Linked DNA regions of Oryzias latipes. The protein of the gene in region 1 purifies or fractionates together with the protein of each later gene. This does not show direct contact. Links are inferred from orthologs where the notes say so. Each region holds a gene or a part of one and is shown in the gene's direction. Other genes may lie near its edges.

Region 1 (7,240 bases):
AAGCCACTTCCGCAAACAACGAGTGACGTCGTTCACCGTTGAGTACTATTCTGCGCATGCGGGTCACTTCTGGGTCATTTCACGGTCACACAGGAGATCACAAAAATTCACATTTAATTGGAAATGTGAACGGCCTTTTCAAAAAAATCGGAATTCAGCATTAAGCCCTGTAGTGTGAACGTAGCCTAAGTTCTGACCTGAACATAAAATGCTGGTATCGTCTGCAAAAAGTATGAATTTCATAATTTGTGATAACTTGCATAGATCATTAATGTGAAGTAAAAACAGAGTTGGTCCAATAATTGAACCTTGAGGTATATCGCATATGATACTCCTATTTTTAGATTTATTATTACCAATCGGTACAAACTGCTATTTATCCATCTATTTATATGATGTTTGATTAAGGAACTTTTTTTTCATTATTATCATTTTTAAATAAAAGTCATGCATGTAAATCTCTGTGAACATTTTTATCAATCTGGTTCCAAAGCAGAAAAACAGTTTTTAAACTTCAGGACTTTTAAATTGAAAACCTTTCACTTCTTATCCAACAAGCTTTCTCAATTGAAAGATCAATCCTTGATCTTAAAAAACTAAGTCCAGATGAACTTTTACAGACTTGTTCCTCCATGCATATGTCTGCAAGACTTTCTTTGAACTATTATCATCTGTATAATCCAGGTATATTTTAAGATCTGCAAACAAAAGTAGATTATGTTTTTGCATAACAGTTTTTGCACGCCCAAAGACCTGAAAGAACCGATAGAGTGTAAAGCAAACAGTGTCAGTGGGACTCATTTGGAAGCTTCTGTTCTTGGCAACCAGTCAGCCAAAGCGATCTAACAACCCAGCCGGGCTGCTCGGTGTCTGGTTTCATTCCGTTGCTCTATGGAGTCAGCAAGCAGAAAAGAGCCGCTGGTGAAACCAACAGCGCAGACAGAGCTCTCACTCTGCTCTACTTTCTCTGCACCTCTCATCCTACCGCTGCCGGTTTACAATTTAATTAGACGGAGGAGTCCCTCTGCAATACAGATACGATCTTTGTTCCTTCTTTTGCGTCACTGACGCGAAGGGGTTGGGTGTTGCTCGGCAACCAGGAATGTTCAACAAAACACAAAAGTGGGGAGAAAAGTCGTAATAAATGAAACACTGTCGTCCTTTGACATGAACAAATGACCACAATGACACCACTGTAAATAATTTAGACTTTAATTATTAAACTGATACATTTAAAATAAACCAAAAATAGTTATAGATTTTATAATAGCCATTACCACTTTTTTCTTTAGAGGGGTTATCATAAATTTATGTAAACATATAATTATGTAAAGTAATTGCAGCATATTATAGCGGTGCACACTTCTGCTATTTAATTACATTTTTATAAGAACTAGACATTAAAAAAAAATATAACAAGCATAATTCTGTATACATGTTACCTGGGTTCAATACCCAGGGCGTGCAATGAGCTGCCTGGGTCTCCCTGTGCCTTGAAAAGACAGGCCTGTGTCAGGAACGGCATCTGGCGTAAAAACTCTCTTCCAAACCACCTGTGCTGAGTGCTGTGGAGACTCATAACGGGATGAACCGAAAGGTGAACAACCTATTTTATAGATATTTCCATATACAAATCAGCAAGCAAATGTAAAACAAAATAAATAAGCAAAAGGTTGTCTTATTATCAAACTTCCTTAAGAGCACTGAGTCAGGATTATTGGCCCAGCTTCAAAGCTGCCTCTTGTTGTCCCTTTTAGGTGACAGTTGCTGAGTGGGATTTAAATCAAGTGAAAGGTGGAGGATTCCCTCTTTCCTTTGGGGGAAGACCTTTGTGAAGAGCTGGGCACACCTCACCTAGACTAAACTAATCCGCTGTCTAGGACAACTATTGCAAACAAAGCAATTGCGAGCTGAACACGCCCTTTTATGGGAACAAGCATTGCATCAGGGTCAGGGTGTGAACTTCTGTCCCACTTTGAACTGTTCTTAATTATGTTTATCCAAATAGAAAAATCACCGCGTGGAAAAAGATTTCCACATTTTAAATATGTGTCCAAATAAAAAAGTAAGATACAAAACTGGATAAAGAGGAGAAAAAAAATGAAACCAGAAGAGAACGATCATTTCCCTTAACTGTAACTTCGTGTGACATTTAATCCCCCAAAATCTGGATGTTTAGTTTTTGTTTACTGTTCTTGTTTGGGCAGAACAAACTTTTCGTATCGTTATCCCGTTTCTTTTGCAGTTTTTTTTTCAGCAGCCTCGCTGTTTGTTGTCTTACGTAAGGTCGTGTCGCCGCTCGGCCAATGTCGGATGGTGTGTTTCCCATCAAGGTCCGCCCCTTTACAGGATGCACCATATATGGTAAATGACGTAGGATTCGGGGATCCCGATCCTGTTTATGGAATATTCCATTTCTTGTCAAATTGAACATTAAACGAGCTCCAACGGGTTTCTTTTTGCTGTTTTATTACAAATAACTTGTGTTTTCGCTAACTATGACTGTATATTGACGAAACAAAAGCCATAATTCCCGCCACAGCGGCGTTGCTATGTGATTGTTTGGCGCTTTCACTCTCACGGTTTTAGGCTCCTCCCCCGCGCTGCGTCACACCACCAGGAGGATATAAAACCGATCTGAGCGGCTGGAGCAACTAGATCAACTTCGATTAGCAAAGTAGAAAGTCCTGCTCCATTTCAGAAGAAGCGCTCAAGGAACTTTCTCAAAGCCACAAAAAGGAATTTACCCACTTTTGAGAGGAGTTTTACTGGAATCTTCCTTCTTGTTTTCTCCGGGAAGTATGATGTTCACCGCCTTCAGCACAGATTGCGACTCTTCCTCCCGCTGCAGCACCGCGTCTCCGTCCGGAGACAACCTGGAATACTACCCGTCACCTGCGGGCTCTTACTCCAGCATGGGATCTCCTCAGTCTCAGGTAAATTGAAACGACGATTGCTTAGATGGCTTCACAGTCTTTTTGAACTTTAATTTATAATTAAATTGAGTGAAAGTCAGTGGGCCAGGTTAATTCAAAACTTTTTCAAATTAATTTGAACATTTTAGAATTAATAAATAAAACCTGAAAACAAGCTACTTTTTTTTTTTATAAAGAGTCATAAAAAATTAATTAAGGAGCATGTTTGTCCTGCTGCACACAGAGCAAGGCAGTTTTCACTCCACCGAGGATACATAACGTCAGAGCTGACATCATTGAGATATTTTTAAAGCCCAGTGTTTTAAAACCCTCCTGAAAGCATCACTAACTTCCCGACTCCCCTCCCTCTTTCTCTCAGGATTTCACTGACCTGACAGCATCAAGTGCCTCCTTCATCCCCACGGTCACAGCCATTTCAACAAGTCCAGACCTGCAGTGGATGGTCCAGCCTGTGGTCTCCTCAATGGCCCCCTCCCACAGAGCTCACCCTTACAGCTCCAGCCCCAGTCCTGCTTACCCCAGATCATCCCTGAGGTCTTCATCCAAGGCTTGCTCTTCCAAACGTGGCAAAGTAGAAAAGGTGAATTATCTTTTTTTTTTCTAAATCTCAAGTGATGCAACAGCTGAAATGTGTTTTTAGAGCTGGAGTCTCAACTTGTTGTTTTGTTCTTGCAGATAAGCCCTGAGGAGGAAGAGAAGAGACGAATCCGCAGAGAGAGAAATAAGCAGGCAGCAGCTAAATGCCGTAACAGGAGGCGAGAGCTCACAGACACCCTTCAAGCTGTAAGTATCCCTTCAGATTTACCCTCACTTATTGAAAATGTGTTCTTTCCCAGAGCTTAATAACCAATCCAACATCCCACTAAGTGACACTTTCTTTCTTTCCCATCTGATAGGAAACTGACCAGCTTGAGGATGAGAAGTCCAGTCTGCAGAATGATATTGCTAACCTGCTGAAGGAGAAGGAACGGCTGGAGTTCATCCTGGCTGCCCACCAGCCCATCTGCAAAATCCCATCAGAGCTGCAGACCGAGGTTCCCCTGACCTCAATCTCCTCCACCCACCCATACCTCTCCACCACAGAGTCTTCCATGCCCACATTTACCTCCAGCCAGCAAACCATCCCTCCAACTTCCAACTCTATTTTCTCCAGCTCCGTCCTCTCCACCACCACCTCGACCACCACGACCACCACCACCTCCGACAGCACTGTCAAGATGACAGACCTCGAGGCTTCCATTCTGGAGGAGTCTTTGGACCTGCTGGAAAAAGCGGACATAAAGACGGCACAGTCTGTGCCAGAGGTTGACCTTTCCAGCTCCCTCTACAGTAACCAGGAATGGGAGCCTCTTCATGCCTCTTCAACCAACATTGACTTTGAGCCCCTGTGCACACCAGTGGTGACCTGTACTCCAGCCTGCACAACCAACACGTTCTCTCTGGTGTTCAACTTCCCAGAAGCTGAGACCTTCCCCACCTGTGGCGTTGCACACAGGAGGGGAAGCAACAGCAATGACCATCCCTCAGACTCTCTAAACTCACCCACCCTGCTAACTCTTTAAGGACTTTCAATGAAAAAAAAAAGTATTTCCTCCCATCAAGTCTTGAAATATTATCAAACTGTGCAGAGGCATGAGCTTTGGAACAGGAATGCACCAGATGGCAAATCATATGTTACCTGCCTTTATCTCTACTTGCCTATTAACACCAATGTAGCAAGTTATTAAGCATGATTTATATATATTTAAAAAACAAACACCTAGTTGTTCTAAGTTACTATTATATTTATGGTGCTAGATAACAATACTTGTTGTCAATAAATGTGTTTTCAGAGCAATAGCTGTATAATTCTGGTTTGTTTTTTGTTATTTAAATGTCAAAGTAGATTTTTTTTATTTTATTTTTTTCATTAAACTGCTGTGGTGCCATGGTCTGCAAGTCCATCAGACTGTGAAGTTTTCTGTGAAAACATTGTAATTTATGAAATTTGTATTTATTTATTTTTACAGACGAATGTTGTGCAAATAAAAAATATATATTAACGCAGTTATTTGCCTGATTGTCACTTTAATCATATACCTATCGAGAATAATGTTGAGATATTATACACAGGTTTAATTTGAGTGTCTTCCGCTTTCGTAAGCGTCAGTAGCTTCAAGCTATTTTTCTTCTGTTGCCAAGGCTAACTGTACGTCAGGGCTTTGACGTCAGTGCGTTCTCTTGCATTTTCTTTTTGTCCTGAACGCCCTGCGCAATCACGTTGCACTTCCGTGCCCAAATATAGAATTCCAGTGGAGTCGGTGGCTGTGCTGCGGGCTGACGGCTCTTTTTTTTTTTTTTTTTTTTCTCACTTCCGCTTATATTCGCACATCTCAGGGGTTTCTCTGCAAAGAGAGCCACCGAAACTGTCGGTATATCCAACGGAAAGGAACAATAACTACGCTGGTTTGGTAAATTAGTCATTAGCCGTTCTGACCGAAAAAGACGAGACAACAGAGCGGATACAAGATTACGTTTATTTTGATTGACCGTGCCTGAGCAGGGCTTGTTTCGCTGGTACCAAAAGCAAATCATTCTGAATACAATATTTTTATTTTATTTCGTTTTGTTTGATCTGCAGGGTTCATGCACTTCAGTTTATATCAGAATGAAAGAAAAAATCTAATTCTTTATTTTTTTCCTGTTTGGTTTATTTCAATCAGTAAAAACAAAATAAACAATTTAAAAAAGTACATATATCAAACAAATTTAAGACATTAATATGTTGTAATATAAAGTTTTACACAATTTCATATTTACAAATTAACTTAACACTTCTCAAGTTACGATTTGAAATGGTTTGTGTGTTGGAGATGTTGAGTGAAAATGATTTTGTGCACTCCTTGTAAATTTTGTCATAGGATTTTAATCATCTTTCATGTTTGCTCGTCCCTCATCAGTGCTTTTCCTCATGTCATCAGAAGGCAGGTTGCCCAATTATGACAGGAAATTCTGTGTGAGGACAGAATTTCAGCAGACTAAGTCATTTAGGTCACACTCATTTACGTTGCACAAGACAATGTCTAAGCATTTATTGCCTCATGTTATTGGGTGACACGTTAAAAGAAATCTGGTCTTTTAATACTTAAAAAGTGAAATATCATGCTTTAAAACCACTTGATGCTTGGAATAAATCTGTTTTGACCCCCTTTCTTTGATGCCAAGCAGTTGTTGCATAACAGGCGGATTCTGCTTGTCAATTTTTGCTTGCGCTAAAGCTCTTTTTTCCTTCATGAAACTTCTTGGTGTGACCACGCAGTGCCAGGAAAATCTATAAACGTCTCATCGCTGCGCCCGGGGAGACGAGGCAGCGGCAAAAATAACAGCAGGTGCCTATTGCTGCGATAACAGCAGCATCAACAGCAGTAAAATTAGACTGCTGTGACGCCAGCCTGCGTTGGTGCCGCAACCCTTGGGAGAAACCAGCCAGCGTACGCTGATGCAGGGAGAGGAGGAGGAGGAGAGGAGAGAATGACGGGTATACAAGGATGGCAAGGAGGGAGACAGACTCAGATCCCAGCCTCTGAAACTGAGAACAGCAATGATGAAACACTTCGCCTACATGCCAAGAACAAAAGCTCTGTTGGGACTGGCTCTGTTTTCACATAAACTCTTCCTCTGCCACTTTTCTAATGAAGGAAGGTACAGCTTTAGGAAGTCATTCAGTCTTTCCCTGTTGTGCTGTCTTAGATGACCCCACCCTTACTTTGACGTGTTCTCCCTACCATGACAAAGGTGGATAAAGGTGGAAAGATTTCATGTAATCCAAGGACACCAGTGAAGATCACAAATCATTGAAGAAAAAAAGGTTCAGCGCACTGTCTAGTGGGTCTTGATGACCCAACTCCCAATGATAAAGTGCCTAGGATAGCACAAGGGTTTCAAAGACAAACACTTCATTACAAGCTCTTTACCTTTTATTTTATTTTAAAGTTCTTTCTCTTAAACTTCTCACAAACCAAGTTTGGGCTTGAACTGCTGAACTCTCCTTGAATTTTCATCACCAGGAAGTGATAGGGAGCAGATGTCATCGAGCAACTGCAATCATCTGAAAGAAGTCACTCACGTCAGCACATGGACTTTTGAGGAAGTGGTGTGTTCTGTTAAACTGGGCTGGTGTGCCATTTTGACACAGAGCCAAAAGGTAATAAAGAGGTTATTCTGTCACAAATCATCTGATATGCATGTCAAAGTGGTGAAATATTTAACCCACAACCAAAATGTGAGTCAGGATAGCAGCTTGGGGGAAAATTCTGGTAAATTCA
Region 2 (6,562 bases), on another chromosome or scaffold:
AGACCATTCCTCCAACAGTCTTAAACAAATGTCACTACTTATGAAGCATTTTGACAGCAAAAGTATCCCAGTGATATTAAAGTCTCCTGTATTATTCAGAGGACATATTTAGGGTGTGATGTCTCACTTATCAAGTTTCACTTACTCATTAACTCCTGACACTGTGAACATGCTGGTTTTGTAATATTTTACACCAATTCTTTGCGTGGAAGCTACTTGTTTACAATAGAAGTACTAGTTTGAGACAGAAAGGGCTATACATCTTATTATCCTAGATTTTTATTTTATTGTAAATTATTTCAAACTTTTTGGACTAGACAATCGATTTTGTTTTCATTCTAATTTTTTTAAGTACATAGTTTTTATCTTAAATTTAGATAAACTTAAATTCCTATTTTTTAAAAATTGCTTTTTGTAAACGTATTCAACTCTTCCAGTACTGAGTACTGTCATGATGTAATGGTTTCATTTTGCAACTTTTATTATGCAGAGAATGTCATCATCGGTGTGCAGCGGCTGTTGCCATTGGTTGTAGGAAGCTGTCAATCAAATCTAAGTGTGCGTCACTTCCGTTGTCAGGTGGTGCTGTCGCTGTGGAAAGATGCGATCAGCTTGGAGCGGAGGCTTTTCTTTAATTGCTCATTTCAGTCTTAGAAGCTAAGCAGCCCGAAAATAAGGCGCCGTGTCGTTCGTCGTTTGAACGAGGAGCTCCCCACACACCCACCGTGGCCGTGAACCAAGAAATGTCCATGTTTTAAAAGCAGTCAACGCAAATCTTTCCCGGTGGTTTTGGCTCGAGGTAAGCGAGGGGGGTCGACTGCGTTGCTATTTAGCTCTCGCGGCACTGTTAGCCAGCTGAAGTGTTGGCTACTTTGTTTAAATGGCCTCCCGGCTGCTACAGACCGCTCCGACTTGACGTTAGCCAGCGTTGTTTGCCAACAAGCATATTTCAACCTTTCTGGTAAACAAAGGAACACGGTGAAGAAGCAGCGTCTGTTTGAGCAGTTTGGTTGAAGCAATGGTCTTAGTTCGCACGGGAAGCTAAACTCTGTCTTCTTTCGCTGCAGTGCAGTGCGTCCCACTTTGTCTGGCTAAGTCAGTGCAACCCGTTTGTAGCCTCGTCTCCGGTCAGTATATTCTGGTTTCGTCTCGTGTTAAGTTTTGCATTCCCTAGCTTGGTGTCGGGTTTTTAAAAATATATATATTAATAAGGACATACAGGAAGAAATGCAGCGTAAAAGGTCAGTGTTTTCGTGTAACACCCACGTCCGCAGTGCAATATTAACCGTTCAAAACAGGATATATTTTAAACATTTCATCTTTCAGTTGGTGGATTGTGGGTTGTCGCTAAGTAAACACCGCGTTAGCGTTGACTCGTCATTGTTCACACTGCCTGCTGCACCAGCACAACTCAAATCTCCAGACTTTGCAACTCAAAATGGCACCAAACAGTGTAATAGTGGCTGTGCATTCGTTGTTATTTTGGTCAGGTGGTTTCGGTTTAACCTTGTGTCCTCCCCGTGGTCCAGTGATCAAGGGCATTTACTCTTTGCAGTAGAATAGGGTTTATTTTAACAAAAGCTATAAAGTAGAGCTCATGAGCTTAAATGTATTTTCCCTAACTCTTTTGTTTGAATATAAATGCAGATGACAGAAGTTGCATTCTTTAATTTGATTAAATTAGTAACTCCATTAAATTATCTATTTTTTGCTGCTCTGATTATTATTATTATTTTTTTTTTTGCAGTCCTTTTTTTTGCAGAGCCAGACAATAGGCATCAAGTCTGGGTGGAAGAAACTCGAGACACCTACATGGCCGTTTTGTTCTGCTACTATTTAAGGAGCCCACATTTCTCGTGGGCACTCGCAGCATGTCTCCTCCTTTTGTATATGATATGATTCAGAGGCTCTATCTGCTCCTGTCCTCCCTCTTGTGCAGGCAGAGGCCGCCTCGCTTGCCAGATCACTGGCTGTGCAGAGGAACACAGTGGTGTCAGAAAGGGATCGCTATGTGCTGTCATCGTGCTGATGTCATTTAGGTCAGTGTGCAGACGTTGGTTGTGTTGACCTTTTGCTTTTAAGATCTGTGTCTGGGTTTGGCTCCACAGCTCTGTAGCAGGTTTTCAGTCGGTAGATAAAATGCCTTGGGTCTGTGTGTTGCGTTGCATATTCTGTCAGTGACTCAGTGAAGTCTTATAAGTCCAAGGTGCATGAGTTACATTTTTTTTTATTTACTGATTATGTGCCGGAATAAAATGGGGCCTGCCGGTTCTTGCCGAAGGTGTTTGCCTAAAATATTTATCAGCCTTCCTACTTCTCGGATGAAAAAAAATATTTGTCTGGAAGTATCGCAAAGCGTGTTTACTTTAGCATCCGCCGGAGGTTCCCACCGGGCAGCTTCACAACAACTGCAAGTCCTGATTGTCTACTTCTTGCATCCAACAGATTTGCACTATTTTCAGCATGACTTTGTGTCACTCTGACTTGCACTACAAATGTTGTCAGAAAACCTCAGTTCATCAGACTCAGTGGGTGATGACTAGTGGAGATGGAGACAGATGGGTGAGAGACATGATGATGACACTGTCTGCTGTCTGGGATCACAAAAAGCCTCATGGAAGTGAGAATTCATACGAGCCCTTACCGACTGCCAACTGTCCAAACCTTGTCTGTGCCCAAAAACACCAACTGGCGAGTGCCTTTGTTGGTTTTGAAACAGGAAGATGGCCTGAGTGGTTGGGAGAAAGGGGGGAAAATATGGAATTTTTTGCACTCATAACAACATGTTTTTATTTTTATGTTAGTTTTCCTCTAAATGCCTTGTTGGTTGTTGAGCCGGATTGTACTTGAAATGGAACTGCTAAACTAAACAGACCCCAGCTGTCATTGTTTTGTTTTTTTTGTATCTGTCATTATCTCTTATTTTGCTTAAGTTATTTTCCAGTTTTGTTGTTATTTTTGGTTATTCCACATATTGAACAAGTGAGCAACGTCTAAAGAAAACTTTGGAAGACTGCGGGATGAATCATTCCTTTCAGTTTAGTGCACTACTTCCCCATTACTGGAAGCAGATGGGGTTTCACCTCACGGTAACTCAGTATTAAGAAAACAAACCTTTCACATCTGATTTCTGGGAGGTGCTTGCGATCTGGCGTGCTGAGTTCAGCTTGTTAAATGTTGATGCACTGTCACTGCTTAGGGTTCCATTTAAATGTGCTTCCTTACTGTTGTGCAGAGCTCTCGCTTTGTTGGGACATGTAGGTTTTATTTGTTTTTGTTTTTTTAGGGGCATCTGCATAGATAAGACGGCTGAAAAGATTCTGAGTTAAGCATGCAGATTAAGGGCATAAGATTTTTTCTTTTTTTCTAAACCCACGTCCACTGAGGCCGGAACAGATTAGAGAATCAAATTTAAACGCTTCAGTTTCAAGAATGTTGTGCAATGGCCTTTTATTTGCGTGCAAGTGCCCTCCGTTTTAAATTGCAGATTGTGACACGCTCTCTTTGCTTTTGGGGGGGATTGAATGTGAGGTGTTGCCCTTGCCGCCTGCAGCCATTATTCTAAATGGAGCTGTAATGGCCTCATCTTCACACTGAGGTGGTTAAATGTGAGGGGAGGGATTTTTTTTTGTAATGGGTTAGGTGGAGCTGCCCTTAACTTTACCCCCTTCACACCTTTTATTTTCATGAAGCATTACTTTCTAAGAAACTACATTTGTAAACTCTTAAAAAGTTGTCTGGAAATCAATTATTAAAACGTCATCCATTCACAGTTTGAAGCCCCTTGCATGCACTTGAACTTTACTATCTTTATCCCTTGAACTAATCAGATTTGTTCTCCCGCAGAGCTCCAGGATGTCCAAGCGGCGCTCGTCAGAGAGGGGGGCTGGAGAGACATCAGGCAGAACCAGCAAGCTGCAGTGCACAGGGATATCTGGCAGTAATGCCAAGAGGGCCGGCCCCTTCATCCTTGGTATGGAAGCGAGCTGCTTTTTGTTGTTTTTTTTTCTTTCAGAAAAGTCGCAGAAACCTATTGAGGTAGAAATGTGTGTGGTTCAAAACTGTAACCCTGCGTGAGTCAGAAACGGAGGAAATGATTCTGTGAGGTTTTGGGGTGTCTTGTGTTTGCACAATGGACGCTGATGCAGGGCTAAGACAAGAATGCTAAGAATGTCGCTGATCCCTATGACATTTGCCAGAAAGGCTTCAGTGTGGGTCGATGCAAGGCTTCTTCCTAGAAAATGTGTTTTAATCATTTTTTTCAAACACAAGACATCTACACCACAAAACCTCCTCATAATTTCTAAATTTTGCACAAAAAAACGTATTTTACACTAAGGCTGAGTGCAAACTCAGGACATAGAAAGTTGTGGTGTGAGCACACACTTCAGCATGTAGGCTGCCTTTTGGTCTCACAGCTGTTGCTTTTCTAATCCTTGCAGGACCGCGCCTAGGCAACTCACCAGTACCGAGCATAGTGCAGTGTTTGGCCAGAAAAGATGGCACAGATGATTTCTATCAGCTCAAAGTAAGTTTGGTTTCAGACTCGCATTATTGTTTTGTTGGTTTGGTCATGCTTGCCCTTCAAAAGAACAGTAAAAATGAAAAGATTTTTTTTAATTTGAAATGGTTTATTTCAAGCAATCAAGTAAGAATAATACACAAAAACAATACAATCAGCTGTTATACATTCATACAAAGACCTATACCAAACCTAGGATAATTAGACATAAAATTAAATATTGCTTGAAAGGGAGTGGAAGGAAGGAAATTTATATAATCCCACCCCAGTTCTACCATTTTTATTACATGATTTATCAACTTTTATCGGACAAAATTAAGAATCCTTAGGTATCAATAAAGCACATGACAAAGATGAATTGCTTAATTATTATGTAAAAAATAGACATAACTATTTTCAAATAGTTATGTATCCAATGCATTGTGTGATGGTTTGGCACGCATGTCTTGGTGCAGATTTTATCGCTTCTTTTTCAGTCAAAGCAGCACAGTAGGCACTAAAGGCTCCATACCGTTGGAGTGCTCATCTTACTTTAAACAATCCCAGCAGCTTTGATCATTTAGACTTTTGAACTCCATGATTGGTCCTTCAATAGTTTAATGAATCTGCAAAAAGGTCAATTGAAGCTCAGTGGTTTTCTTGTGTTTCTGTGGTGTGTCCCTGACAGATCCTGACGCTGGAGGAGCGGGTGGACTCTGCTGGGGAGACCCAGGAGGAGAGGCAGGGGAAGATGCTGCTGCACACAGAGTATTCTCTCCTTTCTTTGTTGTACAACCAGGATGGGGTGGTCCACCATCATGGTCTTTTCCAGGTACTTTAGAACAGTTTAAGCTACATTTCTGTTAATGGCTTTGCAATATGTTTTTTAGCACTGAATGTATGTGATTGGCACAAGGAGGGTGTTTCACTCAGTGCCGTGTAGGCGTGCATTCTGTGTAATTGAGATTTGTAAATGCAGTAACATTACCATAGAGAAGTGGCTGCCTTTTTCAGTTTTCAGTGTAGCTTCACAGCTCAAGTACAAGAAGTTGTACAATCTCACTGTCAGTACTCCACAGTTGGCTTGTATTTACTTCAGCCTTTCATTTTTTTTTCCATGTCAAGTTAGATATTCATTAAAAGCAATATTTACCTGCGGCATCCTTTCACAATGACCTCCCCCACCTGCCTGTCTGTCTGCTCCTTCCTTTACTGTTGTAATTCTTTCAGCATTCTCTCCTTCTGTCATTCTGTATATTCCCTCCCCTGTGTAAGCTTGATATAAAGAAGGGTTCAATGTGTATCTTAAACCTGAAGCTTGATACACAAATCAATCATTTAGAAGCCACAAAGACTTCTAAGTGGCAGATTAGAAAAGAGGCAGGGGACTCTCTGTTGGTTCCAAAAATGCCACTGAAGCCTAAGAAATGCACTCACAGCTGATGGACGTAACCTGTTCTATAACAGTACTCCTACAGTTGTTTTACTTCATCATTTTTTCGTTTTTAGCATTAATCCATTTGCTGGACCTTCCAAGTTTGTGCATTTTTTAAAATTCGTTTTGTTTTCCAACACAAAATCCTTCAGAAACATTTTAGTGTCTTTTCTAAGTTTTTTCTGACCCTTCTTTTTAATCTTTGTCCTCCAGGACCGAGCCTGTGAAATCGTGGAAGACCTCGAGGCCAACAAAATGCGAAAGATGAAGAAGCGCATCTGCCTCGTTTTGGACTGTTTGTGTGCCCATGACTTCAGCGATAAAACGGCAGATCTAATAAACCTCCAGCATTACGTTATAAAGGAGAAGCGCCTGAGTGAGCGCGAGGCCATAGTCATTTTCTACGATGTGGTTCGTGTGGTGGAGGCCCTCCATAAGGTAAGCTCTATGATATGGCGAACTGTTAAAGAAAAGCATCACTTTTAAATGTTCTGGGTTTTTTTCCATCAATGTTTTGTTTCAACTTGGAGGAAGAAAAAAATTGTTGTGCTGGTTGCATATCTAGATGATTACTGGTTTCCCAGGGTTGTGTGCCACTCCCTGATACAAACTGATTCTTGCCATGC
Region 3 (6,381 bases), on another chromosome or scaffold:
AGTGTTGTGATAAAACTGTTCATATCCTTTTATCTTCTGACTGATTAGCCTAATCTGCAGTGACACCCTCCACTGTTGTTCTTTTCAGGAACATGAAAAAAGGTGTTGGAGTGTCGACTTTAATCTGATGGACCCCAAACTTTTAGCTTCCGGCTCTGATGATGCTAAAGGTAAAGATTTGGCCCTCGTCTGAACACGTCATCCTCATCAATCGTGTTAGAGATTTCCAACATTCTTTTTCAGTAAAGCTGTGGTCAACCAATCTGGACAACTCAGTAGCGAGCATCGAGGCTAAAGCTAACGTATGCTGCGTTAAATTTAGCCCAACATCCAGGTATCATCTGGCATTCGGCTGTGCAGGTAATTTCTTCAATCCTCACTTTATCTGCTTATTTTTCAGTTGGTTTAGTGTTTTTCTGCATTTGTTAAGAGGTTATATTAATTGAAATATCTTCCCACATCTACTTTAGTTATTCTGTTTCTGTATTCTGCAAGAAGGAACTAAACTCTGCTCTTATTTTGGTTCATGTTGTGTGCTTATTGAATAAAGCGTTTGGCAAAATCCTTAACAGCTTTTGTCGTCAATATAATATTACTAAATTAATTAAAAAACTGTAAAAGTGGAATCGTTCAAATTACCTTCAACAACCCCAACTCAAATTATAAACCACTCACTTTTATCACAAGTATTTTGGGGGTCTAGTTTCTCTTCTGAAATGCTTGTACTCTATAAAATTAAAGATTTTGTTAAAAATAAAATGATATAATTTTCATATGTTCTTCAGTCAAAGTTGGGTAGGGAGGTATGATTGTCATCGGCTGCATTTCTGAATTTCTTTGGTTGGTAACCATAAAATATTACATTTCAGAATTCTATGGGCACTAAACTCTCGTCATTCAGGAATTATAATAATTCTTTAAAAATGTCTTTGGAGACTTTTTAAGTCAATTTTAGTGCATTCTTCTACCAGATCTTTTTCATAGTTTGATTTTTGCTCTGTAAAGAAATTCTAGAGGTAATTTCTTAAGTTGTTTTTTTTTTTTACTTCTAATTTTTCACAACAAAAAGCACTTTTTTTTAACCCCTGAAAATGTTGCATAATGTAGGTGGAATTTATATATAAAAAAAGTCAAAACAGACAAGCTTTTAGAAAGAAAAGAGAACTGTTGCTCTCGCTTAAGATTTTGCAATTTCGGCTATTTAGATACAAAATACAAATTGATTTTAAACAAAGAGAGAGAGAGCCTAACTCCTTTTAACAGAACTGGATACAAACAGTGTTTTATTCTTTTTAGAAAGTAAAGGGACAATGTAGTGTCACGCTAACATATTCAAGGTTTTTCCTCAGTTAAGGAGCATTAAAAATGTTTTCTGTCATTGCTATATAATATTGTATTTCTTTTATTTTATTCAGCATCACATCTCAACTGTTTTTCTTTTTGTTTGTTTGAAAGACAATTAATCCTGAACAATCCAAAAGAACTTTATTATGTCCTGACAGAAGAATATCTATGAATGATCATAGATATTTTATTATAGGGGTATTCGTGTAAGTATTCTAACTCTGAGCAGAAACTGTGTGGTACTTTGCTGTAAGTTTTCATTCTTGGTTTACGTTCGGAGTGCAGCTAGGAGATTGGAAAATAAAAGACTAAAATAATTTTCTTTTTTTAGTACCAAAACTAACCACAGAGTTGCAGATCAGGAAAAAATGTAATGTTTGTGGTTTAATACCATCATGTTTTTATTGACAGAAAGCAACAACAGTTGTGCTTCATCATTTTCTGGCCCAATTTGAACATTTTGTGAAATTTATCTCTTTTGTCCGCAGACCACTGTGTCCACTACTACGATCTCCGCAACACTAAGCAGCCAATCATGGTTTTCAAAGGCCACAGGAAGGCCGTGTCCTACGCTAAGTTTGTAAATGGGGAAGAAATCGTTTCTGCGTAAGTCTGTTTACCTTTGCTTCCATCTTTAATGTTTTAAGTAATCGTGTATTTGTTTTTAAATGTTAAATATTTTAGTATATTTTAAAAATGCAATGACAGACAACGTCTTACTGCTTAACGTTTTCTATTAAGGACTTTAATTTTATTAATTTTAAAACTTTTATGTTAATAATACAATTAATAGAGATCATCCTGTGCTAGTGGCAAAACAGATCAACAAATATTTAACATTTAGTCTGGTTCCTATATAATCCTATATAACACATGAACAGAGGTGAGAAAAACACATTTTAAAGCTTTAAACGAGAGCCGCTAAGTTTATTTCTTTCACAGAAGCTAAATTGATTAAAATACGCTTTCATATTTTTAGCAGCTTTCTTGCATATTTAGACTTCTCAAACAATGCTTTTAAAACTGTAAAGAAACTACTTAATAACCAAAACTAAAAAAATAGGATAAAGAAGGATTTGTGCACACACATATAAAGAGTACATGTTCTGTGTTCATAGTTCGACGGACAGCCAGCTGAAGCTTTGGAACGTCAACAAACCTCACTGCCTGCGCTCCTTTAAGGGTCACATCAACGAGAAGAACTTTGTTGGACTGGCGTCAAATGGAGACTATGTTGCCTGTGGTATACGTTCATTTGAAACGTTGACGCTGATGTTTAAAGACTAGCCATTAATATAAAGTGTTTTTATGTCCATTTTAGGAAGTGAGAACAACTCCCTGTACCTGTATTACAAAGGACTTTCCAAAACACTGTTAACATTCAAGTTCGACACGGTGAAGAGTGTTTTGGACAAAGACAAGAAAGAAGATGACACCAATGAGTTTGTGAGTGCCGTCTGCTGGAGAGCCCTGCCTGATGGAGTAAGTGTCACTTCACTGGTCAACTATACTTTTTTCAATTCTGCCATTGTAAGCAATACTTTAAGGCTTTTGTCAATATTTTAAACAAGGCTTTCATTTACATAAAATACCTCTGATTTATTCAAAATGATTTGCTTTTAGGAGTCAAATGTTCTCATTGCTGCGAACAGTCAAGGAACTATCAAGGTTGGTGTTTTAAAAAATATACAAAAAAGATGTTTTCTTTTTAATAGTACCGTTAAATGTTTACAGCTCTTAAAAACATCTGTTTGAGTTTTTTTTTATTATTCCAGTATCAGTGCATAATTCCTCCCATTTAATGAGAATTTACCAGGAAAAAAAATACAATTGCAATTATTTGGGGGGGGGGGGGGGGGGAGGGGGAGTGGTTTGTCAAAAAATTGCTTAATAAAGAAAAAAATGTCTTTAAAACATCTAAATGTCTGTATCTATTCCTCCCTGACAGGTTCTTGAACTTGTCTGAATTCCTGCCAGGCTTGGGCTATCATGACCTCTATCTTTAGGGGGGCAGGGGTCAGCCGTGAATGGGGAGATCGCCTGCTGATCAACGGAGGAGCAAAAAGAAACGGAATCCATCTGTTATTTCACTGAGCTTTGTGTGCGTGTGACATCAGACAAATGTCGGCCCGTGGCACCAGTACAGCAGGCGGAGATGTGCCGGCGTTTGAGCTTTACCGTTAAAGAACCAAGCTGGGGCACAAAACAGAGGAAAGCGGTTTTGTTCCTAATCCGTCACAGTTTGTCAGCCACAATACAACACCTCTCTCTGGTTTTATACCAAATCTTATTATTTTTTTACTTTTGACTTTTTAACTCTTTAACCATTTCTGTCAAAGGCAATTCAGATAAATGCAACCTCCTGCATTTTGTCTTTTAAAGGCCAAAGCACAAAACAAAACATGCAAACTTAAATTCCCCCTCTGTCAGCTGTCCAGTTTATTCCCTATTTGTGTTGTTCTTTTTGTTGTATATTTTGTTTGTTTTTCCAGATTGGGAGACAGCAGGGTTTTTTTTTTTTTTTTTAATAAAGGTGACTTGAATTTCATTTTGTCAAGTGTACAGCAGTTTTTCTGGCAAAAGCAACGTAGCATCTCAGCGTATCTTTTTCTCAGAACAAAATGATACTCCACGTGTTTGTTTCTATAACCACAGCTATTGTTGCTTGATTCAACCTGCAGTTAGTGGAACTGGACTTTTTGATGGATTAGGACTGTTGTAAACTGATAACCACAAAGCCTCAGATGAAGTTCTTTCAAAGTAGCACTGGGATGTTTCTTTTTATTTTGTTTTTAATGCACAACTGCAGGCATGAACTGAGTATCATTGCATTTTGGGCGCCGCTACCAGTTTTTGTGGAGTTCCACAAGGACATGTAAAAAAAGAATAATGGAAGGATTGAAGAAGCCACCAGGATCTGCCAATTTTATGATTGATGAATAAGAGAGGTGTTTTGTATTTGCCTAACAATAAATTATTTAAAACATTTTGGTATGTGTGCTTTTTGAAAGTCTTTGATATTCTCTTTAATTACAATGCAATAGGTTGCTTGGAAAATATGACAAACCAGCTTTTTTTTTTTAGTACAAATGAGGAAATCTAAGATAAAAAGTTGAGGTTAGCACATACGTAATTGTACTAAGGTGAGGTAAACTTTGTCCTCAGAGAGGAAATTTGTTCCTGGCCACAGAGCTACTTACCTGAATGAGAATATTAACAGTACACAGAACAAATAATTAAAACGGGAATATACAGAATTTCCAACAGACCTGACTCACCGTTAAGAACACGAATAATAAAATGTTTAATTGAAACCTTTACCACAATGCTGAAAATAATTTCAGTAAAATGCATTATCAATTCATAAAAGGAAAAAAAATCTACTGTTGTTAAAACTAGGGACTAAGTATTACCCAAAATGATAAATACATATAATTATGCTCCTAAAAGCAAGCAAGAAGAAGGCCGATTTTATTTCTAGATGTCAAGTACTATATTTAAAAAGATATTGAAAGCCTATTAGAATGCCAGAGCTGTATTACCAAATACTGTATATTTTTTGTTTTTACCCTTAGTATAGTAATGTTTTTCTATATTTAATTTTTAGTCTCATTTTGAAAAACCAACATACAGATGGATAAACTGTACTTTATGCAGAGCTATACTAAAATAATATTTTCAGCTCTCGACTCAAGAAAAAAATACAAAATTGCATTTCTCTTTTGACTTTTCAGTACAATTTACCAGAAAAATTACATTCTTTAAATTATAATAGCCTGAAAATTAATGTAAAAAGGAAAAACGGTGTTTTTCCGCTTAGGTTCATCTGTTGAAGTTGTCGCAATGCCTACAACACAAACAAAAGTTCAACACAAATAAATGGAAAGCCAAACGAATTTATGTGCTAGTAACACTATACGCAGCCGTTCAAAAATAAACAAAAATATGGAACTTAACTATCTTACAAAGTACACTGTGTTGTGTATTATTTTTAGAAACCGCGTACAAAGATAAAACGTGTTTTTTCGTAAATCTTCAATCGAAAAGATTTTTGTCAACTGAAAAATACGCCAAAGGAAACTGGTGAGCGGAACTTATGTTTTACTGTTGTTTTCCAAATACATGCGGAGTAGTTTAGCGGATGGACAACTAGCTAGCAAACGGAAACAAAGCCGGACTCTAAAGCAAGTTCTGATGTTACCGAGTCAAACATTTGAGAGTACTTAGAGATAACCTTTCAGTGTTAACATTTTTACAGTCTAGAGCTTTGTGACGAAGATGGGAGTACCCAAATTTTACCGTTGGATCTCGGAGCGCTACCCCTGTCTCAGTGAAGTTGTCAAGGAACATCAGGTAGGACCGAGCAGTCAGGGTCGATTGTTTCACAATTCACACCTTTAGCATAGCTAGCCGTTTGCTACAGTTGGAGGCGAAACTTTGAGCCGCCTTTGCTCACTCTTAAGAGCATTATTTTTGAAAAAATAAATAAATAAATAATGCCACACGTGATAAAATAATTCTAAACGCACGACATACCAGACTGACATTCAGTACGACGTACGTCGTTTATATTCCTACACTAAGTTTAGCGCCCTAATGTTTTATTTGAGTTACTTTAGTGAGTCATACACTCTAAATATACAAATTTTATGAATGTATTGCTTTTTATTTGTAATTTCAATAAAATCTACATATTAATAATAATGAAGCCTAATAATTGTAAACAGGTAGAGCGTTATAATGTTAATAGCTGTTTAGTAGCCATAGTTAACAAATGGTGTGAAGACTTGCACTAGTTTGAACATTTTTTTCTTTTAACATTTAAAAAAATATCAATTTAACGTAAGTGATTCAGATTTTTGAGCGGAAGTTGCTATTTCAGTCTCCAAACAGTCATTTCATCAGACTTGTTCAGTCTGGCGCTCCTTGTGTTGGAAAGCTGTCAGTTGTTTTCTATTTTGTAACTGTTTGGTGAAGGAGAAGTCTTAACCAAAGCCCAACTGACAAAAGTGTGGGGTATTCTGTTTCTTTATTTTT

Evidence for each region. Proteins that work in one complex are often made in the same cells at the same time.
Region 2: the proteins of c-fos (region 1) and stk40 purify together in Homo sapiens (affinity purification with mass spectrometry; 3 studies listed by BioGRID and IntAct, counting the BioPlex papers as one, with this or other methods). This does not show direct contact. The link is inferred for Oryzias latipes from reciprocal best matches to the Homo sapiens genes FOS and STK40.
Region 3: the proteins of c-fos (region 1) and cop1 purify together in Homo sapiens (affinity purification with mass spectrometry; 4 studies listed by BioGRID and IntAct, counting the BioPlex papers as one, with this or other methods). This does not show direct contact. The link is inferred for Oryzias latipes from reciprocal best matches to the Homo sapiens genes FOS and COP1.

What each region holds. Positions count from the first base shown.
Region 1 is NC_019882.2:17,150,330-17,157,569, reverse strand, and holds c-fos (c-fos protein), read left to right. Parts: upstream 1-2,656; 5' UTR 2,657-2,801; coding exon 2,802-2,936; intron 2,937-3,294; coding exon 3,295-3,516; intron 3,517-3,611; coding exon 3,612-3,719; intron 3,720-3,832; coding exon 3,833-4,098; coding exon of another isoform or gene 4,099-4,134; coding exon 4,135-4,498; 3' UTR 4,499-4,982; downstream 4,983-7,240. UniProt on the Homo sapiens protein: Nuclear phosphoprotein which forms a tight but non-covalently linked complex with the JUN/AP-1 transcription factor. In the heterodimer, FOS and JUN/AP-1 basic regions each seems to interact with symmetrical DNA half sites.
Region 2 is NC_019874.2:23,402,358-23,408,919, forward strand, and holds part of stk40 (serine/threonine-protein kinase 40), read left to right. Parts: intron 1-569; exon of another isoform or gene 570-799; intron 800-1,939; exon of another isoform or gene 1,940-2,039; intron 2,040-3,846; 5' UTR 3,847-3,855; coding exon 3,856-3,973; intron 3,974-4,442; coding exon 4,443-4,528; intron 4,529-5,189; coding exon 5,190-5,333; intron 5,334-6,149; coding exon 6,150-6,374; intron 6,375-6,562. UniProt on the Homo sapiens protein: May be a negative regulator of NF-kappa-B and p53-mediated gene transcription.
Region 3 is NC_019875.2:19,746,564-19,752,944, reverse strand, and holds the end of cop1 (E3 ubiquitin-protein ligase RFWD2), read left to right. Parts: intron 1-88; coding exon 89-170; intron 171-243; coding exon 244-360; intron 361-1,832; coding exon 1,833-1,950; intron 1,951-2,462; coding exon 2,463-2,587; intron 2,588-2,665; coding exon 2,666-2,826; intron 2,827-2,967; coding exon 2,968-3,012; intron 3,013-3,292; coding exon 3,293-3,310; 3' UTR 3,311-4,332; downstream 4,333-6,381. Other genes in the region: xrn1 (5'-3' exoribonuclease 1), read left to right, coding at 5,623-5,697. UniProt on the Homo sapiens protein: E3 ubiquitin-protein ligase that mediates ubiquitination and subsequent proteasomal degradation of target proteins.